4 linked regions of the Arabidopsis thaliana genome follow. The protein of the gene in region 1 interacts with the protein of each later gene in a pairwise test. Each region holds a gene or a part of one and is shown in the gene's direction. Other genes may lie near its edges. The genes, in order: WRKY75, AT4G29930, AT3G56880 and EIF2 BETA.

Region 1 (7,532 bases):
ATAATTGGAGTCCAAATTTCTTAAATAATTATTTTATGTCTTCACTTATCTAAAAAATAAAATAAATAAATCTTCTCTCCACTGACATTGGTAAAGGCATAGAAAAAAGAAAAAAAAAACTGTTCTTCATCATCATCGTCTCTCCCAAGAAAAACCATGAAAATGAAGAAGAAAGGAAAAGTTTATCCATCTCCTCCTCCTCCTCCTCAATCTTCATCATCTTCTTCTTCTTCGAACCATCTCAACGAAGAAGATGATGATTCTCTCTCTGTGTTGAAGCTTCTTCCAGCGACGATTTTGGTTCTTGTTTCTGTTCTCTCCTCTGAAGAAAGAGAGGTTCTTGCTTACTTAATCACAAGAGGAACCACCATTTCCGATAGAGGAAACTCTTCTTCAAAGAATAAGACGAAGAAGAAGAGCAACAAATCTAGCAAAAATCACAAGCCACCAGTTTTCGATTGTGAGTGTTTCGATTGTTACACTAACTACTGGTTTCGTTGGGATTCTTCGCCGAATCGTGAGCTTATCCATGAAATCATCGAAGCTTTCGAGAATCATCACGGTGAAGAAAACTCTGCTTCTCGGAGCAAATCTAAGAGAGGTAAGAAGAAAGAGAAACCGGGTCGTCGGGTCACTGATTCGGATAGTAAACCGGCTCTTCGGGTCACGGATAATGGTGATAAGGATTCTAAACCCGTCGTGGAGCCAATGAACGAGACCACTGTTTCCGAGAGTAGCCACGTGTCGTCACCAGTTAGATTGAGTGAAGCTGAGGTGGCAGAAGGAGAACCGGAGGATGAGATTGTTGTTGAAGAAGATGGACAAGAAGAAGAATCGACGGTGGTGGTTTTTCCGGCGGCGGCGAGTAATGTGACGGGACACAAAGGGTTGGCGAGGAAGGTATTACCGGACGTGTTGGGTTTGTTCCATTCCAATTTTTGGAGGCTTTGGAATCCGAACGCGTAAAAGCATCGACCGGAAAAAAGTTATGCTTTTTTTAATTTTTTTGTTGTTGCTGTTTTCAGGAAAAATAATCTCATCTTTTGCTTTCATTTTGTTCTTCTATTCTCGAAAAATACATGACTACTTTGGGGTTATGTTTAATATTCTTGGTTGAAAAAATGCAGCTCTTTTAGCCACCATTTCTCTTTATGAAATTCTCTAACAATGTGTGATTATTGTTCTGTTGGCCAAAACTATTTCTGCGGATATACATGAAAGATTTGCAATGTAGTTGATGTTTTGCATTTTCAAGTTCTTTTGACTTGCAATTTTTGTGTTTGGTGGTGAGACTCTACTCTTTCTAGGCGCTGTACACCGAATTTGAGATTTTTTTATTTGAGTGTTTTTTTTAGCTTAGGAACAAAGTTTGTGGATTAGGTAGACTGTTTCGAAGAGTGGGCCAACAAATATTTGCCTTGTGATTAAGCCATCCTCATCTCATAGTGAGAGAGTGTGTCTCATTCTTCTATTTATCTATCCATTTATAGATAGATGTGTTGTTAACTGGTTTATGTGGTTTCATTAGTAATAGTTACGTTGTAACTGCTTTATCATTTATTTATTTTTACGACTCCAGAAATGAAGAAGATGAAATCAAAGTTCTGTTTCTACTACCGTGTTACAACGTAAAGCAACAAAACATTTGGTTACGTTTATATAGGAAACCAAAATTGCCAAATTTAACCAAGGCTTGAACAAAACTTTAATCAGTTTCTTGTTGTTGTTGGGCCCAAAGCTACCTGTTTTACCAATCAAATCTGTTCTTACTTTGTCAATTGTCACAAACCTTGACTTAGTTCTTAAATCACTCACCAAAAACTCTGATTCTCAACCCAAAACAAGAAATAAACTTGTACTTAACTGCCAAAGGCTTGTTGAGCCTAACAACAAATATTGGCCCACATAACAGGCCCAAATCTTACAAAGCACCCAACCCTTTTTTTTTAGCACCCATCCCTTGAGTACTTTTTTCATTAATGTTCTTTTCCAAAAAGATATAGAGGCTGCGAGATGTGAAAGAAAAAAAGTGAGATTGCAAAAGAACACGTGCGTCTTCCAAGAATTTTCTTAGGGGTTATATAATATTCAAACATTTGATCTCTTTGATAATTGTCCAACCTTTTCTTTTTACTTTGTGCTTTTGAATGGTCAATCAAACATGGACTAACAACAGTAAATGGTGAGCTACTTTTGTTTTCCTAATTGAAATTGATTAATAATTGGTAAATGGTTTCAACTTCAAACCTCGGAAGAATAATCATCAAACACGTTTGCGCCTCTTTGTTTACCTTCTACAAGGACTTAAAGTTTGACCAAAATTCCTCAACTACATACGAATGAATATACACTGACGTCCGAAAACAAACCATGAAAAGTACTTTACTTCTCATTAAGCCAATGAAGAAGAAAAAAGTAGCAATATACTCGTCCTAAGCTTTTTTTTTTTTGCTATGAATGTTGTTATCATTATAAAAATTAAAAGAGTTTAGCTTTACTGAGTAAGGGCCTATTGTTTTGAATCTTTGGCCAAAAAAGTTGCGGAATCGTTTGCGTCTGTGGTGATCATGTTTATGATCTCTCTGTCAATTGTGTCGATATACGTCATTAGTTATATCTTGGTATTTATTCAATAAAACCATCAAAAACTGTATTTATTCATCATGGAATCGGTATTATATTAAGTTATAACCGTATCTCACCACAACGACATCAACATCTTTATTCTTTGTTTTAGAAAGCAATGGAACGAAGAACAGATTCAAACTACTTCTCTTTTTTCCACGTGTGTAAATAGTCAATAAATTAGATGGTCCAAGGATAAACTCGTATTTGTATATACAAATATCGAAAACGACTTGTAGTGTGTTTAAGAGCCAATCTAACAATTTTATATGTGTGGATTCAAACATTGAAGACTTTGATTGATCAATTCAAAGAAGTATGCATTTATTATATGCACGGATAAAATGATGACGTTCGACAAAAAAAAAAACGTAAACCTCATATGACGTTCGGATAAAAGAAAAACGTAACACGTACACGACGTCATTGGAGAGATCATTCGTCCGTTCGTAATAATCTTCCACAATCCAAAATTCTGTGTTCTACGTCGGTGCATGCATCGTTTTTTTGGTTATTCTACTTCAATGAATCGCGAAAAGCAGAGTGAGTAATTGATTCTTACGTCAGATCACCAATAAGTCTTTCCTTCCTAATTTGCAATATCTATTACAAAATCTTTATTAATGCGCAGTTTCAAAGCACTCTCAATAGCATACATTCTTGTGTAGATCTGATCCTTATCCATATATATATACATTTAATTGATTATTACTCGTGAAAACTCAGTAAACTATCTTGAGAAAATTGCCTATATCTTTTAAGAAATAAGATTAGGGGTACATAAAACATTATCTTACAAATGTAATTATGTAAAATGTTTAATCCTTACGTGTCGTCTACGACACTACCCCTCTTTAACGATTAGCAGAGGGCCGCCTCTTCGTCTTTGACTTCATAGTCTACCATAAATATGTCTATATATTTTAGACTAAACTTTATTATGTTTTCACAAAGATATCTTAACAAACTCCAATCAATTATCAAACAAAAAGAGAGGAACAAAATTCTTCTTCTTTTGGAATTCAGGTGGATCGGTCTGTCTCGTTGTTATAATCAAGATTCCACAAATAATTAGGAATATGGAGGGATATGATAATGGGTCGTTGTATGCTCCTTTTTTGTCGTTGAAATCTCATTCGAAACCAGAGCTGCATCAAGGCGAAGAAGAGAGCTCAAAGGTTAGATCAGAAGGTTGTTCGAAAAGCGTGGAGTCGTCGAAAAAGAAGGGGAAGAAACAAAGGTATGCGTTTCAAACAAGGAGCCAAGTGGATATTCTTGATGATGGTTATCGATGGAGGAAATATGGCCAAAAGGCCGTCAAGAACAACAAGTTCCCTAGGTTCTTCTTCAATTCTCCCTTCTTATTTATTCATTGCTTACAATTGCTATATATTTTATCGAACATATAAAGAAAGAGTTAAGAGTTAGACATGCATATATATGCTTTAGCCAATTCGAATCAATCTCCAATTAATGTGTATATGTATCATTCACATCGGCCCTAGATTGATCTTAACTATTCTGCAATATGTGTTTTGATTAATTTATCGTTTTCATCTTCTATAGCTAGCCGAGATACATGATCTATTTGTTTCTCTATCTAATAATTAATCAATATTTAATATAAATACACTTTTGGTCAACAAATCATAGAAATGTGCTTTTGTGAAGAAATTTGATGATTAATTACTCTTCTAAAAGACTCGATGAATATATGTATATCCTATTCACATTTTATTCTAGATTGATCTTTACTAATTGATTGGGATATGGATATGGATATTGATTTTTTTTTTTTCTAGTCTATGTAGCTAACAATCAGCGATTAAAAATGAAAGTCTTTTGGTAGACATTTTTCTTCTTATAATTTGGATTCGGGAACATATATGTGACAGTTAATTACTCTTCTAAGAGATTCAAAAACAGTTATTTGCATATAGAGAAGTGAAGTGTTTTGAAATATAACTAATGGTTTATATATATAAATGTGCAGGAGTTACTATAGGTGTACATATGGAGGATGCAATGTGAAGAAGCAAGTGCAAAGATTAACAGTGGACCAAGAAGTGGTCGTGACAACCTACGAAGGAGTGCATTCGCATCCCATCGAGAAATCCACCGAAAACTTCGAGCATATTCTCACTCAAATGCAAATCTACTCTTCTTTCTAGTTAATTCTCTCAAAATCTTTTATACCTTATTTTAGAGCCTATAATTCTTAGAGCTCATGTTGTAAATTATTTACAAAAATTAGAATGTTACATTTTACGTGTGTTGAAAAGAAAAACCATGCATGATCTGATGATCAGCTGAAGTTTGTATCCTAATAATTTTTAATAAAAATTTCAAAAATTGAGTGTAGTCTATTACTGATAGCAGCATATAATGCACATATTAAATTTCAAACAACTGTTGCTAAACATATTATTACGGTTATCTGATAAATAGTAATACTAATGGTTAGGCGTTAATAAGATATGTCATAGTCTCTAACTACCCACCGAAAGTTGTAAGAAAACTACATGAGGTATGGGAATCTGAAAGTTAGCTAGGTAAGTGACAAGAAAGTAAAAAATATCAACGGAGAAAATGACTTTACAATTCTTAAAATTAAATCAGTAACAAAATAAACCCATTTTGCTAGTTAATTCTGCTATCAGCAATGATGCTCTTGAAACAGTGACAAGAGAGTCATTGTTCTTCAGCACCGTCGCATCAGTTCTTGAGTAATCCAGTGTCTTTTTTGCATGTAACCAACCATCTTCGTGTAAATGTATGTAATTGAGCCTGAAATCTTTATTATCAATATCAAGATGCAAACCGTTTGGATTTGGATTCAAAAATTTGGATAAAAGCTTCACAATTCAACTTTCAGTTGCTAACACAAAACAGGAGTTACTGAAACAAACACCAATTTGATCTAAACTGTTTCATAAACTTATTATAACCATGCTCCAAAAACGTAGCTCTCTTGACTTACAAAACATTCAAGAATCACAAACCAAGAAGATACTGGAATCTAAGAAGTTTTGATCTTTAGATCCGAGCGGATTCTGCTTCCATATACTTACAAATCCTCTCCATAACCTCTCTTCCTTTAGCGCTATTCTGCATGAATTTCTCTGCGCACTTCTGTTCAACCTTCTCAGCCATTGAGGCCAGAGCCGACAAGGGTTTGATCCGAATGCTTGTCTCCTGGCTACAAACAGTCCAGGCTGATGGATTATCTGGATGCGGATCATATCTTATCCTCTCCTCCACTTCAATGAACTTTTTGAGACTAATGTTCTTTGTTGTTAGCTGGAAAACGAAATAGTTGAGACATCTTAGCTAATCCAAACACTCATCTATGGATTGTTGTTTATGACTTCCAACTACTAAGAGATACTTCATGGCATGCTAATCAAGTTCCAATGAAACAGATCACAGCAAACTAAAACAAGTTCCTTATCTTACAAATTAGGCAACTTCTTACTAGAACAAATCCTTGGTTGCTATATAAGCTAATCTAATCACTCATCAACGGTTGTTTACGCCTTGTATCTACTAATAAATACTCTATCCCAATCAGAGCATAGAGAAAAGCCGATGATACCTGCATAGAACGTGATTTGCCATCTACAACTGTTGATTCAACACAGTGACAGATGTCCTGACCAATGATCCTATGGAGAAACCATGGACCAGGAGCATGGATGGTGAGAGCACGCGTGGTGTGGAGTTTCCCGGTCTCAGTGTCGAGTTTCCTGTTCAAGGTATCGACTTCAAGGATGTGAGAAAGGATGCGTTTGTTTTCAGGGTCTGCAAACTTCCTCCATGAAGCAGCACTCACCCGCTCCCACGGATGCTTGTAAACATGCTCTTGTCTGTATGCTTTTACCATCAAGAATCTAAACCCAAATCATGAATGTTTTGTGTGAATAGGTGAAAGTGTAAACGAGATATTTTACTACAACAAATAAAAGATTTCTCAGATAAGGATCTAACCACATGATTTGGTCTGCAAAACATTGTTTTTAGCTATGAGGATTGATAAATTTCAACAAACAAAGACGAAGAACACTAACAATTTGGAGAATTTAAACATTGATTTCGTAAATAAAATTGATCTAATTACGGAAATTCTAATTTCAAATTCGGGAATATTCTTCAACGATTCCGACATCGGCGTGAATCAAAACGCACTTAAGAAACACGAAAGAAGAATGGCAGTTTTTGGTACTGTGCTAACAAAATTGAAGGAAACAGAAGAACAAAGAAACGTAATTTAACAGTTGACTCGATTGCTAATCGAGATTTAAAGGAGATTGTGGAAATTGGGAGGAGAGAAGTACCTTGAGAGGTCGGCAAATTCAAGATCTTGGTGAGCTTCGAGAAGTAATAATGACCCAAAAGTGGAGGACGTGACGAGAGTAAAAATAGAGAGGAAGCTAATCAATGGCGGTGTTTATAGAGAGAGACTTGCGGCTTATGTTTACGAACCACGATGTTTCTCTCTCTCAGTCTCTCTCGTAGACGGCACTAGTTTTTGGGCCTTTATTAAGCCCTATTCAGAGACCTCATTCATTATTGGGCTTTAATTGTGTTGAAAAACTCATAATTTATTGTCATACTCTGTGACTTTTTTTCCTTAAATGTTTTTCTCATTTTCTTATATACATAGTAATTATACTAATTTTCTTAGATTATGCAAATTATGCAAATGCATGCAGCAAAAAAAGGATTAGGCAAAAGCATGGATGTCCAATGTGGTTTTTGTTAAGTTTGGTTCAAACATTTTCAACACAAGGGACAAAAACCAGACATTTGTGTTACTGTTTCAAGGCATTCAAGATCTGAAGGTAACAAGAAGTATTCATGTTGCAGTTAATGTTACACATTTTGAGTTTGATTTTTCCTAAGCAACT
Region 2 (9,465 bases), on another chromosome or scaffold:
ACATTTTGGAAGAATGATGATTATTATTTTAAATAGTTATAAAATAGACAACAACAAAGAAAATAGTTATAAAATAAAATGTAAACGACTTAACTCAATCTCTATTGATTAATTTCTTCAATATTTTGTAAACGTCTATACATACGAACTGTACGTCGTATTCATTGATTTGGTCGATTAAAAACCTATTCGACCGGTTAGCTACACATCGTGGTGTAAATGGTCCGGTTATATTATCCAACTTTACTAATATCAAGGGCATACTCAAAGTCTACACAGAAACAGGCACGTCAGCAAATTTAAATCAACGCATTAATTATGATTATTAATTCCGCTTTGTTACCTAATGATCTAATAAAGTTATTATATTTTATTTTATTTGTTGTCGACAGTTATACTTCTCTTATCTCTATTCGTTATGTTATATGAATTCACAGGTAAAAGATTAGAGCTAATAAATAACTTAGAATCATAGGAGAATATTTCATTTTATTACATGTTATATACTTATCATGTTTTTAAGAAAATGAAAAAGTTAGGTTAAAGTGGCTATACGATATTACGATAAGTAGTAGTAGTACAATGTTCAACTATTGCAGTCAAAAAAGCATTTTTCACCTTTTACATCTTTTATGGATAGTTTTCACTATTTTTATAACTTAAAAGATGAAACTTTGGTTTCATATAAAATTCTTTTGATCATCTAGCGTCGTATCCAAAACTAAAGATCATATACGTATCTTTAGTTTTGTTTATATTGGGAATATTAACTTTATTATCTATTTATTAGTGTCACCTTTGCTGTGTAATGTGTATCTCCGTATATCTATGTCTCATACTTAGTGATAAATGATTTTTTGCAGAAGGATAAGCTTACAGTGAAAACAATAATCCAATTTCTATGAGGTTAACAAATATGTATATATATTTTAAAACCTCTAAGAGGTTAACATATTTTTAAACGTAAATATTAGTTGCTAGTCGAATTTCTTTTTAACAAAGATTGGCACAAAAATTAATGCCCAAAATATGATTTTATTTAGTTGTTACCAAACTGCCTATAGTTTGATAAAAAAATTATATATAAAAAGGAAAATTAAAAAGGGAAACGAAAAACGGAACAAATCATTGGAGAGGATCGGTCAAAGAGGAATAATTAAGCTCTTTCTTTTTAACAAATTTTATTGTCATTCACTTTTATATTTGTCTTTTGTTGGGTACTGTTGAACGAATGTTTCTTTACTTCCATCACAAGACAAATAAATAACTCAATACGTCGCAAGTGATTCTTTATATTCCTAACTGTCGACTAGAAAGAAAATAAATATCATAGTTCTTTGACAAAAAAAAAAGAAAATATCATAGTTACTTTACTCCAAAATTATAGCCTATGACTAGACTTGATTGGCCATAGAAAATACTTACATATTATGTTATGATGGAATTTCTTCAGTAGCTATTCAATTCTTGTTAGGATACGACGCTATATTATGATGGAGTTTCTTCATTATTTACATGTTATATTATGATAGATAGAACAAGAAACAAAAATAAAAAGCTTCTATGTAATTAATTATGGAAACTTTCTTTGGTAATTTTTGTTTGGACGTTGTAAATTACTTTGCTGTTTTTTATTTTATTTTTTTTTGTATATGTTGCGTTTTCGTTTATTGTTGATTTATATATTCATCTAAACGTGCTTCCAGTTTTAAATAAATTTATTTTGTATTTGTAAACTTAAAAGGCCACATGGAAAATTTTCAAAACTTTACATAAATGACTGAAATTACAATTTACACCATTTTTCTTCACACACTTAAGAAGAGTCAAGACTAAATTTTGGAACATTCAAACGGGCTAAACCATTAAGCATCTTTGTCTGGGCCGAACTCAAAATATATCTCTGTTCAATCCGTGCCTTCAGCCCAACATGTGTTTTTTCAGCCCAATAAGTTTCTTGCATGTTTTGAAATAAATAATGAATTTTAGTCGAATTACTTTCTCTCATATCGGCATATTTTGTTCATTTTGTTTGATGAATGGGTTTAAGTCGTCGAAGTTGGTTAACCGATATCGTAACGTAAGATTGAACCGGAGTTTCAATACTCGTTACATTTTTTCGTATTCTAGCTAACGTGAACGGATGTTGTTTATACAGCTTTCTACTACAAAAGTAGATTTCAAAATTGAACTGCGATTTTCTTCTTACTCTTCTAGAAACACTTCCTCATATTTAATAAGAAACGAAAGAATTAGACTCCGACAATATTGGGAATGTTTAGTTGTCATTTGGACCCAATATAATCAATTCCATACATTTGCAATTGCAAGGTGGGTGAGTCATCAAAATTTATGAATCTTCCAAAGATTATAGATAGAACAGCTTTTAATTAGCCTAATAAACAAAAGGAAATACGATTATGCATACAAAATAAATTAAATATTAAGACTTTTAATGAATTCTTAACCAAAACCATATCAAGTCATATCATACACTATCCTCCATACACGTGGTAGCATACATAAGTACGTTAAATAATTTTATTTAGCAAATAATTTTATTATAATCATCTTTGATCACCAAGATCATGTTGGGCCATCCAAGCCACGACTTTAGTAATGTGAAAACAATATCATAAGGAACGAAACACTGTTCATTTCATACAATTAAAATACAACTTTTTCCTACACATTTTCTCAAGAGTTTAGTAAGTGAGAGACGAATGATTTGAGAAAACAGTTTTTACTTTTTTCGATTTGTTTCTCAAACTCAGTATTTTCGGATTTCTAATCCAGATTAAAAGTTCTGAATAAAATCACGGGGTATGGAGCAAAGCCGATATAAGTAAAAACCTTTCCATATTGATAGACACTAGATTTTTTTTTAGTTCATAAGATAGATACTAGATTTAGTTTGAGTATAATGGATTAATGTGGAACTAGTTGTATTGTTTAGTATGTGTATGTTGTATGATTTAGTGACCGTCTTCAGTTTTCTTGATGTCTTTCCACGTTTTACAAATTCTTGAAAGAACTGAGAACTCAAATGTATGATACATAACCATTGAAAAAAATATTTCCACCATCATAAATAGAGTTTTACGAATCGTTTCACAACTTTTAATTCAGTTGACACCATTAAATAATCAATATTTCTTTAGTTACAATTCAGTAGAATAAAATTGCATATGCTATATTATCTAATTCTATGAATATTTTCTGTCTATGATATTTGATTTTTATATACTTTAGATTTTGGATCACCCCCACATTATTTCGCTTTTCAGTCACATTTTGTGTTTAATATTGCTAGATAAGTCCGTGGTTATAGCTTACTTTGTTAAAATCATATATCTCAACTTATTTCATAACAGTATCTAAAGAAGATGGAATTTTATAAATATATAGACACTCAAAAATCAGAAGAAAATATATATCCACAAATAATAGAAGAAAACATAGATTTACTGCATTCAAATCAAGGGACATGAAAGAATATCCTGGACCCAAGTGGGTTATATTTTCAATAAAATTTAGCAAAAAAAGTTGACAATCAACTAATCATCACCATTATTGGCCATAATCATTACGTACGCATACACATAGCCACGATGTCTACCTATGTTTAAATCTTTGAATTCTGAAACTACGTATCTTTTATTTTTGTTTAAAAAAAACCTAGTACGTATCTTCTTTCCTTACTTAGACATCATCTTCTAACTTTAAGGATCGAAATTAGAAGAAAAACAAATGATTAATATCTACAAGAACAGAATTTTGCATTTATACTCAGATACTCTTCTAGTACCTCACAAAAATAAAATGAAATTGGAATTGAACACGCCCTAAATTCAAGTACTATACGGTCTATACCCATTTGAGTATATGAATAATGCATATTGTGAGTGAAAGAGATAGATACGATACACTCTTTTCTTTGTTTTTCAATTGGACAAAAGGAAACAGATTTTGATCTCTGAATTGAACGGTCAAGATCGTATATAATTATTTCAGGAGATTAAGATCCCACGTGCTTAAAAACTCTCTGTCAGACTCTTTATGTATAAAATCCTCGGCCCACTCTTGTTTTGATAGTACACTCAATAGAAAGACACAAAGAAAGAAAGAAAGGACAAACAGAAATAACAAAACCTTCCATTTCAAGAAAGCATCATCTTTGTGTGTCCGAAAAATGGAAGATCTCGACCATGAGTACAAGAATTACTGGGAAACCACAATGTTCTTCCAGAATCAAGAACTCGAATTTGACAGGTGCTTACTAGAATCTTGGTCCATTTTTTTTTTTTTTGTTTCTTTAGTTTTTTTTTCCGATAAAGATTAATCTTGCTTTAGTTGGTAATTAATGAAAATTGTTATAAATTATAAAATTTAAGTTGGCCGATGGAGGAAGCGTTTTCGGGTTCCGGCGAGTCGAGTTCGCCAGACGGAGCGGCAACGTCGCCGGCTTCTTCGAAGAACGTTGTCTCCGAGAGAAACAGACGGCAAAAGCTTAATCAGAGACTTTTTGCTCTCCGGTCAGTTGTTCCCAATATAAGCAAGGTATGATTAATTATTCCATTACTTCTCTTATTTGTTTAATCAACTGTCTCTTTTAAATTTAATTTGTTATCCAAATAATTTAGTAATAAAGTTTCGTCACCAGCAATTTTTGTTTTGGTCAACAGAAATTAAATAAGCGAATAAACTTTCTCTTCTTTCTTTTGTAAAGAAATAAAACTATACAAATACAATCTGGTTAAACCAAATCCAACCAACATTAAACAAATAAGCAAACCAAATTTTTGATACTCTAAATCCATATCAAGCCATACTAAAATGTATTTTGGTCCCCTAATTACCCTGATAGCATATAATTGTATACGTGTGATGATTTGTTGATTAAGACTGGATTTTATTGAAGTATTAATATTTATCTATTTTTAGTTGGACAAGGCATCTGTCATCAAAGATTCTATCGACTATATGCAAGAACTTATTGATCAAGAGAAGACTCTAGAAGCAGAGATCAGAGAGCTAGAATCACGGTCAACATTGCTAGAAAATCCGGTAAGAGATTACGATTGCAATTTTGCGGAAACTCATCTGCAAGATTTCTCAGACAATAATGACATGAGATCAAAAAAGTTTAAGCAGATGGATTACAGTACTAGAGTACAACACTACCCCATTGAAGTTCTCGAAGTACGTACTATGCATTATTTGGCAGTACATTCTAAATTACCTTTCTTTTGAGGTAAAGTTAATTATTCCAAATTGTTTTTATATAAACATGAAAAAACAGATGAAAGTGACATGGATGGGAGAGAAGACGGTAGTGGTATGCATAACATGTAGCAAGAAAAGAGAGACAATGGTGCAGCTTTGTAAAGTGTTGGAGTCTTTGAATCTCAACATTCTCACTACTAACTTCTCTTCCTTCACCTCTCGTCTCTCCACCACCCTCTTCCTCCAGGTCACTCTCTCCCTCTCTCCCTCTCTCATATCTTTATTTGGCAATGTGATTACTAGTACAAACTACAAAATTCTAAATGCATCTAGAGAATACTGTACGTGTCTTGTTTTGGTTTGACGCTCATTTTGCACTCATGGAGCGAAATTATAAAATGTTAATGGAAAGAGATGATAATATAGTTTAGAAGATTCTTGCTAATAAAGAATGTTAGATCAATTGTAATCAGCTATAAAATTAGTTTTATGCACTTGTCGGACTATAAAACACACCAACCAAATATATTTGTCCATTTTTAATTTGTCGCAACTATTCAGACTTTTATATACCAAATTCAAATCTTACTATTTTCTTTTCTTTTTGGTTATTTTGGGAGAAAAATGGTCGTCTGACGGCACGTAGACAAATCCTTTAGTGGACAAGAATTAATAATATGAATAAAAAGCATATGACTAAGTGCTTTAGTAAAGTGGATTGTTCTTTTGTTTTGGTAAAGAAAATATGTTATCTTTACGTAATAGTACAAAAATGTAATTCAAACTTACGAATTGTTTGGAAAATCACTATCAAATTCAAAAGGATAACCTTTAGACGGACCCATTTAATTACTACTTTTCTCCCACCTGTCTCCATTAAGTGGACCTTAATTCACATTACACCTTAAGTATATATAGTCAGTAATATCTTAATCAATCAATTAAAGCTCCAATTATTGAGGTTGCCTCGAGCCCATCACATTTTTTTCGAATTTCGCCTTGACTTTTTCTGATAGGGTTAGATTCTCTCAAAAGTTAAATGTCATATTCCATAAAAAATTAGGATTAACTTAATCAAAAAATTAGTGTGTGAAATCTCAAGTGCCTCGTGTCCCAGAAAGTGCCGTCCAAGCATAGTAGCACTAGAAAAACGTGGCTAATTTATAACCTCACGCGGTTCAACGTTTGTCTCTTTCACACTTTTAGCACGTGACTTTTCTAGCACTACACCTTATATCAATTCTTAACTCAAATTAACAATAGGCTACAAATCAACTGTAGCCAATTAGCAAGTTATTTGTGTTAACTAGTTGTATATGGTTCATAAGGTCTTCATTATGCTAATCATTTTGGTAAAAATTAGTTACTCCAAATGATATCCATAGCAGTTCATGGTAGAAATTAAGGTTTGGTCCTTTTTAATATAAGCAGATTTGTTAAGAGTTATTATTTTGTGTTTTTACTCTAAAAAATACAAATTCATTTCATTATCTCTATCTATTTGATTTGTTTATCATCATCATATACTAGGACTTTGGTGTAAACAATCTAATTACAAAAATGCTAGTTTCGTGAACTAACGTTCTATTTTTTTTGAAAAAGGTAATTATATTATAAGCTGTAGGTTGGAAATTTTTGATGACAACAAATACGAGTATTTCTTGCCTCACAAATGAATATAATATTATGTTGGTTTTCTTTGACAAAAAAGAATTATGCACCTTTATAACATTTTCTTGATAAAAGATAATATAATCAGACGCTAAAATTACAGTGAGGTATAGACCAGTGGAGTCATTGAGAGTTGGTGAAATCATACTCCAATCATTTATCAAATAAAAAGTCGATCATTTCATTTCAAACCTGTCCTTATCCGTCCTTTTAAAGATTATACAAAAACATTAAACAATGATTTATCCACCAATCTCATTTTCCACGGGAAATAATTATAGTAGTAATGCGTGCAGGTGTATATACACAAATTTATCAGTTCTAATTTTCTTTTTACGTGCTGCCAAAAAAAAAGAAGTTTTTTTTGTCTGATTCGTGTAAAACCTAAACACCCCTAATTTTAATAATCTATACTGACGTTGGACTTCCTAGAATCCTAATTTACTTCAAAATTCTGTAAAGATATCGTATGATTGAAATAATATAGGACTGTTTTAGTTTATATTGTGATAGATGTATTAATTATAGTAAATCGTTGAATTTGCAGGCGGATGAAGAAGAAAGCAGTGCAGTAGAGGCCAAGATACAGATGGCCATCGCAGCTTATAATGATCCAAATTGTCTTATCAACTTCTAATTTACTTCTGGTTTTTTACTTAAATCCGTTTTATGCAATATATGTGAAGAGCTACTATTGTGAGGGTTTATTTGTTTGAGCTACAAAACATCCGATGTTTTCTAATAAAATAAAACAAAAATATGCATGTTCCTTCTTATAATCTTAAAAATTATACTTCTAAAAAAATCATTTGAATTAATTGCAATCATAACCGAGTATAAGAAGAAAAAAACATAAAGAAATATGGTTAAACTAAAAAAGCAAATATGACTTTATAAAAGATTTTGTGGATACTTTGTCTTTGAATTGATGAACATGAATCAAATGCATATTGTAAGTTGCAAAATAGAGAGACTTGCCATTTGTTTCAATTTGATCTGTAAAGTTAGGCAACAAATGTTTAGTAAACTCATAAAAGTGACAGTAGGCTTTGTTAAGGAGTTATGTTCAGATAATTGCAGATTTGTAAACAATTTATTCTTACCGCTATATACACTCGGTCTAAAAGCTTTCTCTATAACCATCATCTTTCTATGATTATTACTTGGTTGAAACTAAAAATATAGTTGCCAATCTTACTCTATCTGTAAGAACCTAAATCTTTCAGCTTTATTATTTTTTAAACTAAAATTAAAAGCCAAAGTTATTTGGAAAAAGGGAATTAAAAAAAAAAAGAGAATAAAAAACGAAATGTACATAATTCAAAAAAGAGAGCTAAAAAGTTCCATTAAAAAAAAAATCCCAGTTTTATTTTTTTCTGGGGGATTTTATCTGAAGTTTAAATGACACATACAAACTGAATAATACACAAAACTACATTAGGTACTCTCTTAGACTACGTTCCAAAAGAATCTAACAATACCAAAACTTCTGCAAAGGACTTTTTTCTTTTCTTGATATATATATATATATTGTTACCTTTTCTCCTTGATCTCTGCTATTGGAACATACACTACTGAGTCTTCTTCAAGTAAAGGAGAAGAAGAATTGCCTAACTTTTTTCGGCCTTTTGGTGTTTTAAATCTATCAAGCCTCTGCGTCACGTCCAGTAACTTGTTTTCTGTTCTACAAAGCATCTCCATTACTGCTTCCAATTCTTCCTCTTCCGTCATCTTTCTCCCCGTCTCCTTCTCTTCTAAGCTCATTTCGTTGCTTAGCTCTTCATGTGACTGAACACAATAAGAACAAATAAACTTTAAAAATCTACAATTGTCTAAAACCACTTGTCAAACCAAATTCATGGAAGCGATACTTGATCATGGTTTCTTTAATATAGATATGTTCAATAAACTCATTTTGGCGAACCAGCTAATTTCATTTTACCTCTTCCGTCATCTTGCTCCCTGTCTCCTTCTCCTCTACCGCTGTACTTAAGCTCATTTCGCTGTTTAGCTCATCATGTGGCTGAACATAATAAGAAAAATAACTTTTAAAATCTGAAATTGTTTAGAATCACTGGTCAAGGCAAGTTCATGGAAGCAGTACTTAACCATGGTTGTTAAATATCAGATATATATGTTCTATCAACTTATTTTGGCAAATCGGCTAATTCATATCTTACCTCTTCCATCATCTTGCTCTCTGTCTCCTTCTCCTCTACAGCCGTCTTTAAGCTCATTTCTCTGCTTAGCTCTTCATGTGGCTGAACACAATAAGAAAAAAATTATTTAAAAAATTTAAAACTGTTTAAAACCACTGGTCAAGAGCTCAAGGCAAGTTCATGGAAGCAGTACTTAATCATGGTTTTTAGTAATAGATATGTTCAATGAACTCATTTGGCGAAACGGCTCATTTGTATCTTACCTCTTCTATCATCTTGCTCTCTGTCTCCTTCTCCTCAGCAGCCGTCTTTAGGCTCATTTCACTGCTTAGCTCTTCATGTGGCTGAACACAAAAAGAAAAGTAACTTTGAAAATCTAAAATTGTTTAAAACAACTGGTCAGCCAAGT
Region 3 (7,497 bases), on another chromosome or scaffold:
GAGATTGATTTGGAATCTGAATCATACGTCATAACCAAAGACTGTAAAATTTAGTGTAATGTAAAACTCTTCACACCATTTGTACATTCATGTCTTGAGATTTCATGAGATATAACGATCTTTTTCTAGATTCAATCCCAACCTTGAGACAAAACCAAGAAGCTGATTCAGTTTCTGTAATAGAGTCCTAATCCTGATTGGGCCGAGTTTTAATTAGGCCCAGATATTTGAAATATGCTCGAATCAAGTGGTCTTATTGTATACTATCCAGACGGCCTATAAGGACTAAGGAGACATAAAACTTGTAAATAATTTCAGTTTCTGCAAAGAAAATACGAAGAATGGAATCTTTTTGAGGAAGGAAAAAGACTAAAAGAGTGGAGAGGGAAGCTTGGGCGACAAGAGTGGGCAGAGTATTGGGAATGACGAAGAAACATTTAGGCGCTATGCATAATACACGACCGCTTCTTCAAGTCAACAACATTCTCACGTGCCATCTCCCTTTTCTTTTTTACTTTTACTTTTTACTTCTTTTTTATCACTTGTATTAATAATAAGAATCATAAAAAACAAAAATGACGCGGTATCGTCATGATACTGTCATGATTACATGGTTTAAAAAGATGACGTTATCGCTGGCGTCTCTTGACTTTGTTCCTCCCACTAGATTCTTTTTTTTTTTTTGTCAGGATCCAAAATTTTTAAATTAGATCATCCTGCATTTTTCTTATGACAATCAGAAAGACTTTCCTCCTTTAATTTGATCTTTGTAAAGCTAAATATTTTGTAGGTTTATCCAATACACTAATTAGTTTGACTAGAACATCTGGAATAGCTTAAAGCTTAATAAAAAAAAAAAAAACAAAAAAAGAGTTTCAAAGTTCGTGGACGCATTAGCAATACACTAATTTTGGACCTCTTGAACCAACGTAAATCGTCTCATTCATCGATCTGCTGTATGGAATATATAGAATATAGTGCTTAATGGAATTTTTTCAAATATATAAAATTTTAGTTAAATATTCAACCGCTGATATTGATGTGTTTCGCAGCTTTTCATAATTGCTAATTGTCAATGATCGGGACTTTACAAGTGTTGTACAACTAATATGAAGACTAGCCAAATTAAGTATTATGTGCTGACTCGTTATTCTTTTAAGTTTTACAATTATCTTCTTCGTTCTTTTTTTTTTTTTGATAAAATCAATAAAAATACAGTTCTATAATAACTATTCTTTTCAACTGTTAATAAAAATTTAATTTTCCTTTTTGTAACGGTTATTCGTTTCAAGTGTTAATATGTACTAACATATTTGAAAAAGAAAGAAGAAAATGAGTGGAATTAATATTTACGGTTTTGTGGTTGTTATCAAACTATTAATTGGTTTTTTTTTTGGTATATAAAGGATCGTAAAGTAGTAAACCTTAATCAAGCATGTTGAAGGAACAATGCCGACGTCATCCAAATTTCGATGTCTCCAATAATTGACCACTAAAATCAAACGACTAATGAAGAGAGTTATGTAAAAGATTGGTCATGTTTTTTATGGGTCCATCTTCTTCGCTTTAGTCTTTATTATATTATCGTAAAACAATAACTCTTTATGAATTTAATTTCTAACCAGTATACTAATATATACACACATATGTATCTTATATTCTTAATCAACCAATCCAATCAATATAGCTTTCTTCACGCAATCAGCTTCTTCCCATATATTGTCACGAAAATATTATTTATACATATTACATTTACACCGTCGTAGATATATTAATCTTTGTGGGCGTAATAATCACGGCTCTCGTAATAAGGAGGACTCTTCTTATCAACAATCCAATAATTTTATGGAAATTATTGATAACAATTTAGTTAACTACAAGTAGTACTGTTTCAACATATACTATATGTGTACTTGCATAAAAAGATAACTTACATAGCTCGCACTCATTTCGATTGAGATATTCACGAAGATGTCAAATTCATCAATTTATTTATGTGTACTTGCATAAGGAACGAAAATAAATAGATGTCAAATTCATTAATTTAAAGATAAGAAAAATATATTAAAGTACTACTAGGTTTTGGAATTTTCAATTAACATAACTATTTACGCGTAGTATATGTGAATTTTGGTGATGTTTTTTTTAACTGAATTGGTATAGATGTCTGTAAACAAATTATTTAGTAAGTACTATATTATTTTATTTTTGACATGGGAAGACCAAGATTCTGCGCTTGATAACACTGGGAACTTGCATTGAAAGAAGCAGGAGACAAGTTAAAAGAGACAATATCGAAAATCACGACAAATGCTTTTTCTAATTGACATAAATAAACAATATGAATTGTGATAAAGTATATGTTTTTATATTTATGCTAAAAACCATTGTAGATTTTTAAATGATAACAACAAGCTGATAAATTAATTATATATCAGTTAGTGGCTTATATTTTAGTGAACTCGACAGTTTGACTGAGAGATAATAAGAGGTTAGCTAGATTCAATCCGATTTATTTCGTTAGAAGACTAGACCTACATCTAAAATGTGCAATCACACACACACACATAAAGTAAGTATAATTAGAAAGAAAAAAAAAAAAGTACAGACTAATAGATGGGTTATTATAAAGATTTGAACAAAAAACAAAGAAATGTGCAAATGAATTAGATTTTGATATTTAGAAAAAGGAAAAAAAAAAAAAAAAAGAAGAATGGGCCGGAGGGGACAGTGTAAGGTAAGTGAGGAGGAAGAGACGTCGGGATACGTGAAAACGCGTTTTTATTTCTTACAAATAAAAAAAAGGTTTATGACGAACGTGGCAGATAATCATTTTAGATCGTTCATGCATGGATCATGCAAAAGCCTAAAAAGTGACTAAAAAAACTCACTTTCGATTCCCACGTTACAGCTTCATTTGATACTAATATAAGTGTGTCGCTTCTTTACACTTTTTAGTTTTCGAATTTCAGTTACATTAGTAATTAAGCTGAGAAAAAGTTTAGCTGTCCAATTTAGGTGTGTATAAGAATCTTAAAAGTGATTTTTTTGATTACTAAATGTATTTGGGATCAAAGTTTATAAACTTTCACATGCATGGTATAACATTGGATGATATCATTTAATTTTATAAATCAAAGCCCAAGAAAAAGATAAAGAATATTATATGGTTGAAATGAAACCATTAATGTCTGATCCAAAAACATAATCCGGTTCAAATATTTAGACTAGTGTAAATAAACTATCTATTTGATAAATTACACATCAACATGAAAGCCACTCATTGCTATGTTTTAAGTTTGTTTCCTTCAAAACTATCACAACTCCATGCACCTAGTTGTTAAAGAAAATAAATAGGAAACCAAAATTTTTGTGTTTGTGTTTTTTTGTTTGTATGTTGGTATAGATAATTTTGACATTAATTTGTCCCACTAGAATATAAAAGGAAACCAAAATTTAATACGATATGAAGCCCTCTCAAACTTGCGATAAATTTGAAGCTTTACAAAATCAACACAAAAACGGAATCACTTAAAATAGTACTACTGTGATTAATAGTATTTGTTGACCCAACAAAATAATATCTAACATTCATATCCATAATAATATCTAAAATTCATATCCATATATATATATAGAGCTATACATATTCTCCTAGTATTGGTCACCATGGCCTACTTGCATTTATGCAACCTAACGTTTCCCTTTCGATCGTTGTGTTGATTTGTTTCAAGTTTGAACATAAACCGATAAACAGTTTCGACGGGCAAATAATACAGTCTTTGTGCCATATATAAGAAAGAAGCTTAAGGACACTAGTGAGATTAGTGTGTTGTAGTGGGTATTTAAATAGTGAAGTTACAGAATGTTAATAAAGTATAGACTAGAAACCAAACTATTGAAACCATTTTCTCCAATCATATTACATATACAAATTCAAAATTTTAAATATCAAATTTGAATTGGAATGTTGAAAATAGCCTGGCTACATTTGGACTGTGTCGAACACTCTACATGTAGAAGTGAGCAATGCTATATACAATATTGTTTCTTTGTTCAACTCTATTTTCCACTAATTTTCTTTTAAAAAGATTAACAATTAAGTACTTAAATGTGTCAAATCAGCTATATAACCTTGAGATATTTAGGAGCAAAAATAATTTATATTTTTACAAGACCAATTCTCAATCCATCTTTTTTTTATAATAAAAATGTTCAAAGAAGAGATTAGCGACGACATAATCCATAAATTAATACAGAGATTAGATAGAGAGTCAAGAAAAATGGGTTTAATAAATAAGACGAAAAAAACAGAGCTGAGTCAGAGTTCCGTACAATTCTGCTGACGCGTGTCTTCTCCTTTCTCTCTCTTCTCCACGCGGTTTCTCATTCTCTCTCTCTCTCTCTTCGCCGTCCTATTTATATTATCTCTCCTCAGCTTTCATTTCTCCAATTCATTCATTATCACATTCCTTTACTCACTCTCTCTCTCTCTCTAAAAACAGAGCTCAACAATAATGATCCACTAAAAAAGATTCTCTTTTCTCTTCTTCTCCGGTGATTTACTTACTTAACAATCATGGCGTCGTCGGAGGGATTAGCAAGCGTTGATCCTTGGTCATTCCGTCAAAACTTCAACATCGATTCGTGGCTACTCTCTGATTCCTTCTCACACGACAGTGATATACTCGCTAAAGCTCTTCACAGATCCATCTCCACTTCCACCGAATCATCTCCTCTTTCTCCTTCATCTTTCTTCGACTCTTCAACCGCCGCCGTCGATTTTTCTCCTCCTCAAACTCTCTCCAACGTCTCTTTCGGCTCAGATCCAGAAATCCCCGCCGCTAGTGCTCTTGGTCTCGGGAAACGAAAACGTGGTCCTGGTGTTTCCGGTGGTAAACAAACGAAACGCCGATCTCGAGTTTCTAATAAGAAATCTCAAACCACGTTTATAACGGCGGACGCTGCTAATTTCCGGCAGATGGTTCAACAAGTCACCGGAGCTAAGTTCCTCGGTTCTTCCAACAGCATTTTCGCACCGATTGTGAAGCCGGAGCCACACCGTCTCGCTAGTAGATTACCACCGTCGTGCGGAAACTTGGACCGATCTTCAGCTGTTCCAACGCTAGATACGTCGTCGTTTTTGTCTAACCATCACCAAGAGAACATTATCACAGATTTGGGAGCTCCGACCGGTTCGTTTCATCATCAATCCAGTGCAGGTACAACGACGGCGAACGTTGGTGGTGGTAGCTCCGCCGTGGAATTGGATAGTTACCCGAGCTTCCCAACACTCGAATCATGGAAAGTTATGTGATCGATCTGATTTTAAGATTAGTGTTTATGTAGAGATGTAATCCCTTTTGTTTTTTTCCTTTGTGTTTCTCATTTTGTTATGAAGAATCTTGTTTTAGTCCTTAAGCTTATGCAGCTATGGAGTCTCTTGTTCATACTTTTGGGGAAATCAAATGGTTTATTGGAAAAAAAACTTGTTACTGCATTAATTTTGTGTTAGCACTATCAAATTTACTTTTTAACTGTTTTTAAGGATAAAAAGCGGAAAAAGGATAAATCTTCTTCAGCCTATACATGGCTGTAAAAGAAGGATTTGTCTTCAGAGAAGCTAGGGAATATCTTTATGGTCCCATGTATCTATACACAGAAAAGACAATCATACACGTTACCACCACCACAATAATGTCTCCATTACTGATACAAATCTATTTTTCTCTTAGATGTAAAGATTCCTCTTATCATATAATCTGAAGATTAATAAAATGAAGCATAGTGTAGCAACAAGAATTAAGTTACACAAAATAGGAGATTAGCTTTCAACAACTACTACAAGAGGAGTATGTCAAAGTAAACGATAATGCGACAACAACCCAAGTCAAAAAGATTGCATCGTAAAAAAGAAAAGTTAGAATACTCTCATAATGGGTTTGGTGATCAGAAACAAACAAAAAAAAATTACATTTATAAGGAGATTATATATGAGAAAAGTCGCAAGCAATAGTTTAGTTTTTTCAACAGCTCCTTAGGTCAGTTTTAAAGTGAGTCAACGTCAATGCCACAAAAGAGGAAGCACTGATTCATCATGAGTCGTGTTCTTAGTTTGACTGTTAAACGTCATTTGCGTTGATTCTTTGATTCCTATATTACACGACACCAATATATGTCCCGTTGAGATCAAACTTACTCATTAGAAACAAAACGTATACTTTAAACAAGACTTAACTTAAGATCCCGAAACGTTAAATCAAGGTTGACACTAGATTTGGATGCACTTCACATTTTTGTTGGATCTATTCACTTTAAAAACTCAAAATTTTGCAAATATTGGTGTAACATGTGGACGGTGGAAGAGACTAACCGAGCAATAAATATTAGGAGGGGCCATAGATTGACCAAAGCGATTATATAATGTAAGTCATAAGTCAGAACAAAGACTAATGTAAAGGCGACAAATATATTAGGGGTTGTTGGTGGTTGCACCTGAGATGGGTTTATGAGGGAATCATCATCTACTTTGTCTCACTCTGATTCAGACACTTATCTATCATCTCATGTGGGTCGGTCTTTGGGCTTTTAATTATGAGGACGACACCAAAAGTGTGTGTTCAGTTTACGTTAAACCCAGTATTTATCTGTGGTATGATTCAGCTTATAAACACAACTTATTACCAAAAGCTAGGAAGTAATTAAGTATTTTTGTATTTCACATCTTCCACAAGTTGATCTCTAGTTTGTTTCCTAGCCTATACTACACTGGTGAAGCAGCTAGAAATGTGCTCTTAGATTTGCAAACACTTGTAAAATTATGAGATTTCCTCTGTTTCTTCTCATTTGTTTTTTAGTTGTAACGCTTCGATCAAGAAACCCTTATAAGAAAGACACATTCTATCAAGCAGCTGGGCTTTTACAGTGGATGCAGTAAGTAATCAATCTAAAGAGATCCAAATAGTGAAAAAACCTGAAAATGCAGATTACAACAACTTAATCATTTCGTGTTTTCTGAAACTAAGTCTTGACTTTTAATTTGGCTTGGCCTCGAAGATCTGATTAGAAAATCAAATCAACACCTGTCCTCACTCTAGGTTAGCAAATACTTGTACCTGTTCTGCTGCGCTTGTTATTCATAGATGGAGTGGAACCGAGTTTGCAGAGACCTCTTCCAGATGATGGTATCAAGGCAAAAAATTATGTGCAATGGTAGAGACAGCATTAAACTATACAATCGGATTTACTGATTTAGAACTGTAGAGAGATAGAATTACAAATGAAAACTACGTTAACCAAAGATAGTCACGAGGTACATACGATTTACCAAAGCTAGATTTGACTCGCACAGACTTTTACAAACGTCTAATACTATTAACTAAAGAATATAAAGGCATACATGATGCCCTTTTGCTTTTTACCTATTCCTTGTCTCATTGTTTTACTCTCTTATACTCTTCTCCTCTTCTTCTGTCTTCATCTTCACTTATGTCTTTT
Region 4 (8,588 bases), 2.9 Mb from region 1:
ATAGGAAACAAGAAGCTGAGATGATGCATAAAGAACATACCCGCTTAATACTAGTAAGACGAGACTTGTAAACCTCGTCAGGGATGATATCTTCCTCCTGTGCTCCTGATTCTGTGTCGGTTCCGTCATTCTTATCTACACCCAAATGGAAAAACCAAGGGTGCCAAACATCATAACAATTTGCCCAAGGAAAAAATCACAAGATATATTACAGGAGATTGCGGATTCACTGACAAACAAAAAAATACTGGGATAACATACCACCATTTTGTCGTTTCTTAAGTAACTTTCTTTGTCTCTCAATAGCCTCCTTGGTTTCCAGCAATTGTCTCTTTTCGTTGCAAATTTATAGAAAAATCAGTACAGTTACTTCAAAGCTTATTGGTATTAGTTTGATAAAAATCCCTCGCTACACAGCTTAACTTACAAGTTGAGCATTCAGATCTTTCAACATTTGTCCGTCCTCCCATGTCTCAGCTATGATCGTTCCTGTCCTGAAATCACCAAAAAACACACACAAGCATATGTATTAAATTTTGATCACAAAATCAAGAACTAACCTTGTAACTTAGCAAAGAAGAGAGCTGCAATTATTGAGAAATGTGAAAGCAACTTCTATCTAAAACTCTATTCGAGTTTGTTTAAAGATTTTACTATAAAGCAAATTTGTATTTGCTATACATGTTTTATTATACCTCTCTGTGAAATATAATTTCAAACCTTGTGTAAATGATCACAGAAATGAATGATATATTGGATAAATACTAAGAACTCATATAAAATTATAAATATATTATGGCAGACCTGAGAACACCAACACTGCCTAATCGCAAAGATTCATTTCTGACTTTCGTTCTTGCTTCTTGTCTCTCAGTTTTGGAAACAGATATGAGAAGGTCCGAGATTACTTTAGTTGTCTGCGTGAAGAAAAAGAAAGGTTCAAAGCTTGCTGTTAGCAAGTGCACTGTTAGCTTAGACCAAATAATTCCGCATGATTTCCATAAGTATGTAAGAGTTATTAAGAATATCAGAGAGAAGCAGCCACAAAACATTTGATAAATTTCTTCATTACACTAACAGTAATAGTGCTACAGGGTTTGCAAAAGTTTCTGCCAATTTAAGTACCAAGTTGATATGAAGATACCCAGTTCGTTACAATTTGGTTCCACATTCAATGCACCTAAATCGCCTTCTCCGCAATAGATTGCCTATTAATTATTACCTAAAGAAATACTACTAAATGCTTTACGAAAAGAGCTCACTGGAAATGGAGTACTATAGGTAACGTAGACAATTGCAAGATCCAAGCTTTCACAGATATTTCAGTTATTTAGCAGCAGCACCATCAATAAATTTACTGAGCATTCTAAGCAAATCAGGAGACTGTCTATTGATTTAACTTTCTCGGGATAGAACTACCATGCTTCTTATGGAGAAAAATGTTTAACTCTAAGATTCTCCCAAAATCATTGAGAATATTAAAAGTAACCATGCCATAGTAGGTGCAAAATTTTATAAAAGAACATAAAAATTCTCAATAATCTATTAAGACACGGAAACAAAAGTTTGCGTACCTTTTGCTTCCCTTGTTGTTCCTGATCTTTCAGATCTTTTACCTCCTGCATATATCATTACTAGGATTATAAGCAGAGCAGGGGAATGGGAATAGATAAAAATGGTAATAGCATAGGCACAAATAGCTAAATCTGAAAGGCATTCACACAATACATTCTCAAGATTCCTGACAAGGTGGTGATACTCAGAAGAATCTTGTCGAGATTTACGCAATTCCTCCTCCAGCATAGCGATTTTTGCACGCAAAGATTTTAAGTCTTCCTGATTTATAAACAAGGAACAAAATAGTGAATAAAGAAAGATATAATTGTACAGTTTCATTGTTGTAGGATAATCATATATAATAATCCCGTTCACTTATTCTAACCAACTTAGAACATGCAGCTTAGTCCTAGACGATGAGACACAAACATATTCTCCAATATTACAGAGTAAAAGACATTATAGGAGAAACTTACATCCTGGAGAGAGCATTCACCATTCCTGAGCTGTCCATCAGGCCTAAAATCCTGGAGAATAAAATGCAGAAAATATTCATTGATAAACTGCGTCTGGTCATCAACATCAATGCAAACAGCAAAAAAAAAGGTAGGAAAAGGCATAGTAATTCTTTCTTGTCCTGCTTAATTTTTTCATACAGGCCAATTAAAAGGTTTTACTTCAGGAAAACATATAATTTGTGTCCACGTTTGTCAACGAAATTAAGTCTCATATATGTAAATCCTCGATGATGAGAAGAGTGGTTCCATGTAAGGTCCGATGAGGTAAACAATACTAACCTTTTGATCAGAGGCATCCAGTTGACTGGCAGCTGATACTGGTGCAACCACAAACTGAGATTTTGTCACATCGTTATTAGTTTTAGAACCACGCCCTCTACCTGTTGACGAAGCCCGACCTCGACCTTGTTTCTTCTTACTTACATCAAGGCCTGTCTTGGACTCAGCATCATTTTTCCTTCCATCATATGCTGCCTCTTGTGGCTTCAATTCAACAATATTCTTCATTATAAGTTGATGAGAAATACTAGGAGACAAAACTTACATCATACACCAATATTTGATATAAAAAACATCAACCCGATAAGAGACTAAAAGAAAACTCTTTATGAAAAATCAATACCTCAACATGATCAACAACACTGAAGTTGTTAGATTCTTGAACTTTCTGGCGCTTTTTTGTATTTGCTCGGATTAGGAAATCTCCAGTATTCTGAGACAGTAACAAGGAGAATGAGATCTAGCTAAAAAAGAGACTGTATTTCTTGTTCAAGAAAGAAATATAGATGCATCTGCAATGCCAGGATATGTAGCCAGCATTGCATACAACTTTGATCAATCTTTAGGCACAAACTGATCAATACAAGGAGGATAGGGACATCAACAATTCAATTAGCAACGACCCTTAGACTCACAAGAATCATAGCATAGACATAAACAAAAGAATTTGAAACAAACATCGGAAGCTACCTCGTCGTCTGAATCACTGATAGAGGTTTCGGACAATCCCGGCGGTGTGGAAGTGACGACTTTGACAGCGGCAGAAGCAGATGACCAGAGAGAGACCTGCTGCTGCTGCTGTTGTTGTTGTTGTGGTGGCTTGGCCGAGGAAGGGGTCTTACCAGTCAAGCGGGCCTCAAGCTTGGCGATTTTGTCGGGTAAAGAGTGATCCGACTGATTAGAAGAATTCGAGGAGAAATGCAAAACCATGTCATCCGACATTGCCAAACACTTGCGGACACTTCACTCCCTAATTTCTACACAGATCAGAGTAAATTCGAGAAATTAGGGTTTTTTAACGGAGAATTACGGAATTGGAAGCTAGAATCTGGATGTCGAAGAGAAACCCATCAACAAATTTTCATGCTTTTATGCAAATCCACGTGGAGGAAAGTGAATAAAACGTACAGAGAAAGATAGACAGAGAAAGAGAAGGAGGAATAAGGTTTTTGTTTCGGTGAAAAAGAAAAATCGAGGAACCCTAAGGAATTAGGAGGGAAAGAGAGGTCAACACAAAGTTCTCTTTAGCACTCACTCTGATACATTTTTTGGTTTATCAGATTTTAGCCTAATTATATAATCTGAGGTTTGAGACAAGTTTGAGTTATGGGTGTGTTAATTTGGGAAATTTCCATTTTTTCTTTCTTTTTTTTTCTCCATTTGGTATCATGGATTAGGGTTGACTATAAGTAGGGTTTTCTTTGATCTAAGGCCAGACTCGTGGTTTAAACGCTAAAATCCGATTATGACTATATGAATTTGCGGAAGTAGGCGGTTGCCGTCTCAAGCGTTATTAAACAATTTGAACGATTAATTTAGCGGTTGAAAATTAATGCATTTGCGGAAATTTTGTTACTGAATATCTAACAAACTAAAATACTTAATATATTAAATAATAAAATAATATAATTTAGTAATTTATAGTAAAATAAGATATGCTAGACTATTAATTTTGACACTAAATATATTCTGATTTCTTTCTTTACTAGTTTCATTTATATTTAATAACATTTTTATATAATTTACTATTCACAGAATTTAATAAGAAATAAATCTTAATTTGAAAAAAAAAAAATTGATTTGATAAAATTTCAATTGATTAATTAATTAAGACAAATAAAATAATAAATGAGAATCTCAGTGTCAATTAATAGATAAAATTAAAATGTAACATGCGTTAAGAAAAAGAAAAAAGTAAAAATGTAATATTAAGGTTTAGGCAAAATGAAATATTTACAGAGACCTTTTACTATTGAATTAAAAAAAAAAGTTACAATTCGAGATGGACTATTTTTTTGGAGGAGCAAGGGTTAACTCTTATCTCAGATTAAAACAACCCCTGCGCCGCTTACTCTCTCTCAGATTCCTCCCGAAGCAACCTCGTTTACTCTCTACGCCAATTTCAGCGCTTAGACATCCCTTTGTGAGTTTTCTTCGATTCCTTTTCGAATTCTTCTGGTCGATCTCAGAGTAAATCGTGTTTTTGGAAGAATTGAGTATAAACAGATTGGTAAACCTAGCTGTTCCGTTTCTGATTTGAAGCCTTGTCGTACATTTTATTTGGGTATTTTTTTTATTGGGAATCGAAAAGTTGTTCTGAATCTCGTTATGGTTTTGTTGCGTTCCGAATTACCTCTCTGATTTAGAAACCCTAATTTCGGACTTGCCTATGCTCATCGTTGTTACAGATTATGTTGATTCTAATATGTATATGTTTGGTTTCTGAGGTCTTATTATCATTGTGTGTTTTCGTTTTGTATCTCAGTTGCAATCATGGCTGATGAAATCAATGAGATAAGGGAAGAGCAAGAAGTAAGTTTGTTTTTTTTCTCTGTTTCTTAATGATAGGGCTCAAGTTAGCCATATAGATTTTTTTTTTTGTTTTGTTTGATGAACTCATGATTGAATGGTTTTTATGTTTTGGTTCATCCTTTTACAGCAGCTCGCACCCTTTGATCCTTCCAAGAAGAAAAAGAAGAAGAAGGTTGTGATTCAGGAACCTGTCGAGGACTTAGCAGAGTCTTCACAGACTGAGAAATCTGATTCATTGCCTGGTATGTATGATGAAGAGTCAATGTGATGTGAAACATTTTTTTTGTTTCAATGGTCTTTTGTGTTACTTTGTCTAATTCCTTGTTTTTGCAGTTAATGATGGTCTTGAGAGTTCATTTACTGGAATGAAGAAAAAGAAGAAGAAGCCAGTGAGTATTGTTTTACGTTTTGTGCCTAGTATTTTTTTTATGTCATTAAACTTGTGTGTTTGATGATTCTGTGACTCACATTTGTTCTTGTTTGATATTTAGACTGAATCAAGCTTATTGAACAACGAAAGTGTTGATGCTGGGGAAGATTTGGATGGTACTTTTAATATCCTTTTTTTTTGTTTGCTAATATACCTTTTCTCTTGGCGGGGTTTTTATCCTGTTTGAATCTTACTGAGAATATATTGCAGAGATTGCTAATGACGAGCAAGAGGGGGAAGAAGGAATAGTTCTACAGCAACGTTACCCCTGGGAGGGAAGTGAGAGGGATTACATATATGACGAGGTGACTATATTTTCGATGATTTCTTTTGTTTTAATCCTTCATAAATATCTTGCTCCCTTGTTTTTTTGCTGACGGGAGTTATATATGCAGCTTCTTGGTAGAGTCTTTAACATTCTCCGTGAAAATAATCCGGAGCTTGCTGGAGATAGGCGTCGTACAGTTATGAGGCCTCCTCAAGTTCTTCGTGAGGGGACAAAGAAGACTGTCTTTGTCAACTTCATGGACCTTTGCAAGACGTATGAGCTAACTCTTTATCTTCCTCTTCAAACTTTTTCTGTGTAACCATAAGTAATATTACCATTTAATTTTGATGACTTTTCGATGACATGTCTTATCTGCATATAAAAAATCAGGATGCATCGTCAACCAGATCATGTTATGCAATACTTGCTTGCTGAGTTGGGTACTAGTGGTTCGCTTGATGGGCAGCAAAGGTTGGTTGTTAAGGGAAGGTTTGCACCTAAGAATTTTGAAGGAATTTTGCGGCGATATATCAGTAAGTAACTTTCTTCTTAGTCTCAAAATTTAAGTTGCCATAAAAGTATATCAGTTTGGAGTTGTTAACCTCTTGTTTTATTATTTCTCAGCTGACTACGTCATTTGCCTTGGTTGCAAGAGCCCAGACACCATTCTCTCCAAGGAGAACCGTCTCTTCTTTCTGAGATGTGAAAAGGTATAAGTTAATCTAATTAGTCCTGATCTTGATATGCATTCCTTTGTTTCTGTTTTACAGTTTTACTTTCTGCGCAACAAAGTAATAAAGTATTTTGTGTGTTTGAATTTGCTAATGTGATTAACGAGTGGGCTACATGGTTTTTGCAGTGTGGATCTCAACGATCTGTGGCTCCGATCAAAACAGGGTTTGTTGCTCGTGTTAGTCGCAGGAAGACTTGAGAAATTAGAAGGTGAAGTGACCTTGGTATGGAGTTTGGAGCTATTCTACTGCTTCTGTATGAGTTTATGAGTTGAAGAAATACTTGTCTTGTTTTTTTTATTTTGTTTTGGAATATGATTATGACTTGACTTTTAAAATGGGATAGGATCAAAACCTTTTACTCTGTCAGGTTCATGTGGTCACCTTGAAGGTTGATTTAGTAAATCCATGGACTTCTTTTTTGTGTTAAGATTATTCTTAGTTCAAAATTAATAGACTAATGATATTAACGTCCACAGGCATTGCGTTCAACATCTCAAATTAAAGCGTGGAAGGCTCAGAAAGTCCAATATACACTATGTTTATCTACAGTTACAATCATACTACAAAAAACAAATAATGTATACGGTTTGGTCTAATATAGCCGCATACGATTTAGTATTTACCAACAAAAAATTGGTCTCAAACCAAACCGAACAATTGGTAATTAACAATTGTTCTTTTGGTCTTGAACCGAACCAAACCGAACTGAACTATATTAACCGACCGACTTCGTCCTTTCCTCCTGATCAAGAAAACTCGTCTCCTACAAAAATCCCAGAAGACAAGAGATTGGTTCTTCTTTTGCATCATTCTTACAAAATCCCCAAAATCATTCGAAACCCCTGAGTATTCTCCTTAACTCTAAGAAATAAATTTCTGAATGGATGCATCGTCTTCACCGTCTCCTTCCGAGGAAAGCTTGAAGCTTGAGCTTGATGATCTTCAGAAACAGCTGAACAAAAAGCTGAGATTCGAAGCATCCGTTTGTTCTATTCATAATCTTCTCCGTGATCACTACTCTTCTTCCTCTCCTTCTCTCCGCAAACAGGTTGGTTTTTATTCTTAGATTTTCGGATCAATAGATTCAAAATTATTCGGAATTGTTAGGGTTTATGCCTGCCTTGACGTTTACTCATTGCTTATGTCTGATGATGGGTTTAACTTTTGAGGATTGAATCAGGAATCAAATATCTTTCTTTTATTGTTTTTCTATTTCAATTGTGGAGAAAGTTCATGTTCATGTCAAAAATTTCATTTAATCCGATCTGTTTTTGTTTAGTTACCCTCTGTGACATAGTATTGATTTGATTGCCATTGCAGTTCTATATAGTTGTATCTCGTGTCGCTACGGTTCTTAAGACAAGATATACAGCTACTGGATTTTGGGTTGCTGGACTGAGTCTTTTCGAAGAGGCTGAGCGACTTGTCTCTGATGCTTCTGAGAAGAAACATTTGAAATCTTGCGTTGCTCAAGCTAAGGAGCAGTTAAGCGAAGTAGATAATCAGCCAACAGAGAGCTCACAAGGTTTGTGAAACATTTAGTTTGGCTTTTGATGGTTTTAAGTGAAATTTATCTGGAGATGATTTTTATTTCTCTTGTGAATTTTTTGCAGGTTATCTTTTTGAGGGACATCTTACGGTTGATCGTGAGCCGCCACAGCCTCAGTGGCTAGTACAGCAGAATCTCATGTCTGCTTTCGCTTCTATCGTTGGTGGTGAATCCTCTAATGGTCCTACTGAAAACACTATTGGGGAAACTGCTAACTTGATGCAAGAACTTATCAATGGTCTTGACATGATCATTCCAGATGTAATGCCTTCTCTTTTCTTCCTTACTAGTTTTAGATTATGTACTATCACACATAGCTGATATCACAAGTTTCTTCACCTAAAGATAGAGATGAAAGCAATTCTTAATCATCCGCATTCTACTCATATGTTGTTTTTTGCATATTGAGTTTCTCCACTTGGTTGTCTCACTCATCTGTATCAAGAGTGTTTAACCTCAACCTCTAATATTGTATTGGTAGCGTCTTTTTCTTAGCTTCATGATTGAAAAGTGATATATGATGTGTTCTATGCAGATACTAGATGATGGTGGACCACCAAGAGCTCCACCGGCAAGTAAAGAAGTTGTAGAGAAACTCCCAGTCATTATTTTCACCGAGGAATTGCTTAAAAAGTTTGGAGCAGAGGCAGAATGTTGCATCTGCAAGGAGAATCTAGTTATTGGCGACAAGATGCAGGAATTGCCATGCAAGCACACATTT

Evidence for each region.
Region 2: the proteins of WRKY75 (region 1) and AT4G29930 interact in a two-hybrid assay, tested with the Arabidopsis thaliana proteins (one large-scale study listed by BioGRID).
Region 3: the proteins of WRKY75 (region 1) and AT3G56880 interact in a two-hybrid assay, tested with the Arabidopsis thaliana proteins (one large-scale study listed by BioGRID).
Region 4: the proteins of WRKY75 (region 1) and EIF2 BETA interact in a two-hybrid assay, tested with the Arabidopsis thaliana proteins (one large-scale study listed by BioGRID).

What each region holds. Positions count from the first base shown.
Region 1 is NC_003076.8:4,147,192-4,154,723, reverse strand, and holds WRKY75 (WRKY DNA-binding protein 75), read left to right. Parts: upstream 1-3,522; 5' UTR 3,523-3,704; coding exon 3,705-3,964; intron 3,965-4,618; coding exon 4,619-4,796; 3' UTR 4,797-4,986; downstream 4,987-7,532. Other genes in the region: AT5G13090 (uncharacterized protein), read left to right, coding at 157-966; AT5G13070 (MSF1-like family protein), read right to left, coding at 5,662-5,925, 6,221-6,508. UniProt on the Arabidopsis thaliana protein: Transcription factor. Interacts specifically with the W box (5'-(T)TGAC[CT]-3'), a frequently occurring elicitor-responsive cis-acting element.
Region 2 is NC_003075.7:14,639,916-14,649,380, forward strand, and holds AT4G29930 (basic helix-loop-helix (bHLH) DNA-binding superfamily protein), read left to right. Parts: upstream 1-4,078; 5' UTR 4,079-4,192; coding exon 4,193-4,272; intron 4,273-4,394; coding exon 4,395-4,560; intron 4,561-4,944; coding exon 4,945-5,202; coding exon of another isoform or gene 5,203-5,253; exon of another isoform or gene 5,254-5,302; coding exon 5,303-5,590; 3' UTR 5,591-7,444; downstream 7,445-9,465. Other genes in the region: PRHA (pathogenesis related homeodomain protein A), read right to left, coding at 8,431-8,685, 8,840-8,920, 9,078-9,158, 9,320-9,400.
Region 3 is NC_003074.8:21,055,465-21,062,961, forward strand, and holds AT3G56880 (VQ motif-containing protein), read left to right. Parts: upstream 1-4,320; 5' UTR 4,321-4,579; coding exon 4,580-5,317; 3' UTR 5,318-5,783; downstream 5,784-7,497. Other genes in the region: AT3G56870 (uncharacterized protein), read left to right, coding at 1-54.
Region 4 is NC_003076.8:7,092,921-7,101,508, reverse strand, and holds EIF2 BETA (eukaryotic translation initiation factor 2 beta subunit), read left to right. Parts: upstream 1-4,363; 5' UTR 4,364-4,497; exon of another isoform or gene 4,498-4,638; intron 4,639-4,839; 5' UTR 4,840-4,847; coding exon 4,848-4,886; intron 4,887-5,013; coding exon 5,014-5,128; intron 5,129-5,219; coding exon 5,220-5,275; intron 5,276-5,377; coding exon 5,378-5,432; intron 5,433-5,526; coding exon 5,527-5,621; intron 5,622-5,711; coding exon 5,712-5,857; intron 5,858-5,974; coding exon 5,975-6,117; intron 6,118-6,208; coding exon 6,209-6,294; intron 6,295-6,443; coding exon 6,444-6,515; 3' UTR 6,516-6,860; downstream 6,861-8,588. Other genes in the region: TSL (Protein kinase superfamily protein), read right to left, coding at 41-135, 262-331, 428-494, 805-917, 1,575-1,619, 1,729-1,836, 2,034-2,084, 2,355-2,558 and 2 more; AIP2 (RING/U-box superfamily protein), read left to right, coding at 7,199-7,366, 7,639-7,843, 7,932-8,128, 8,403-8,588. UniProt on the Arabidopsis thaliana protein: Component of the eIF2 complex that functions in the early steps of protein synthesis by forming a ternary complex with GTP and initiator tRNA.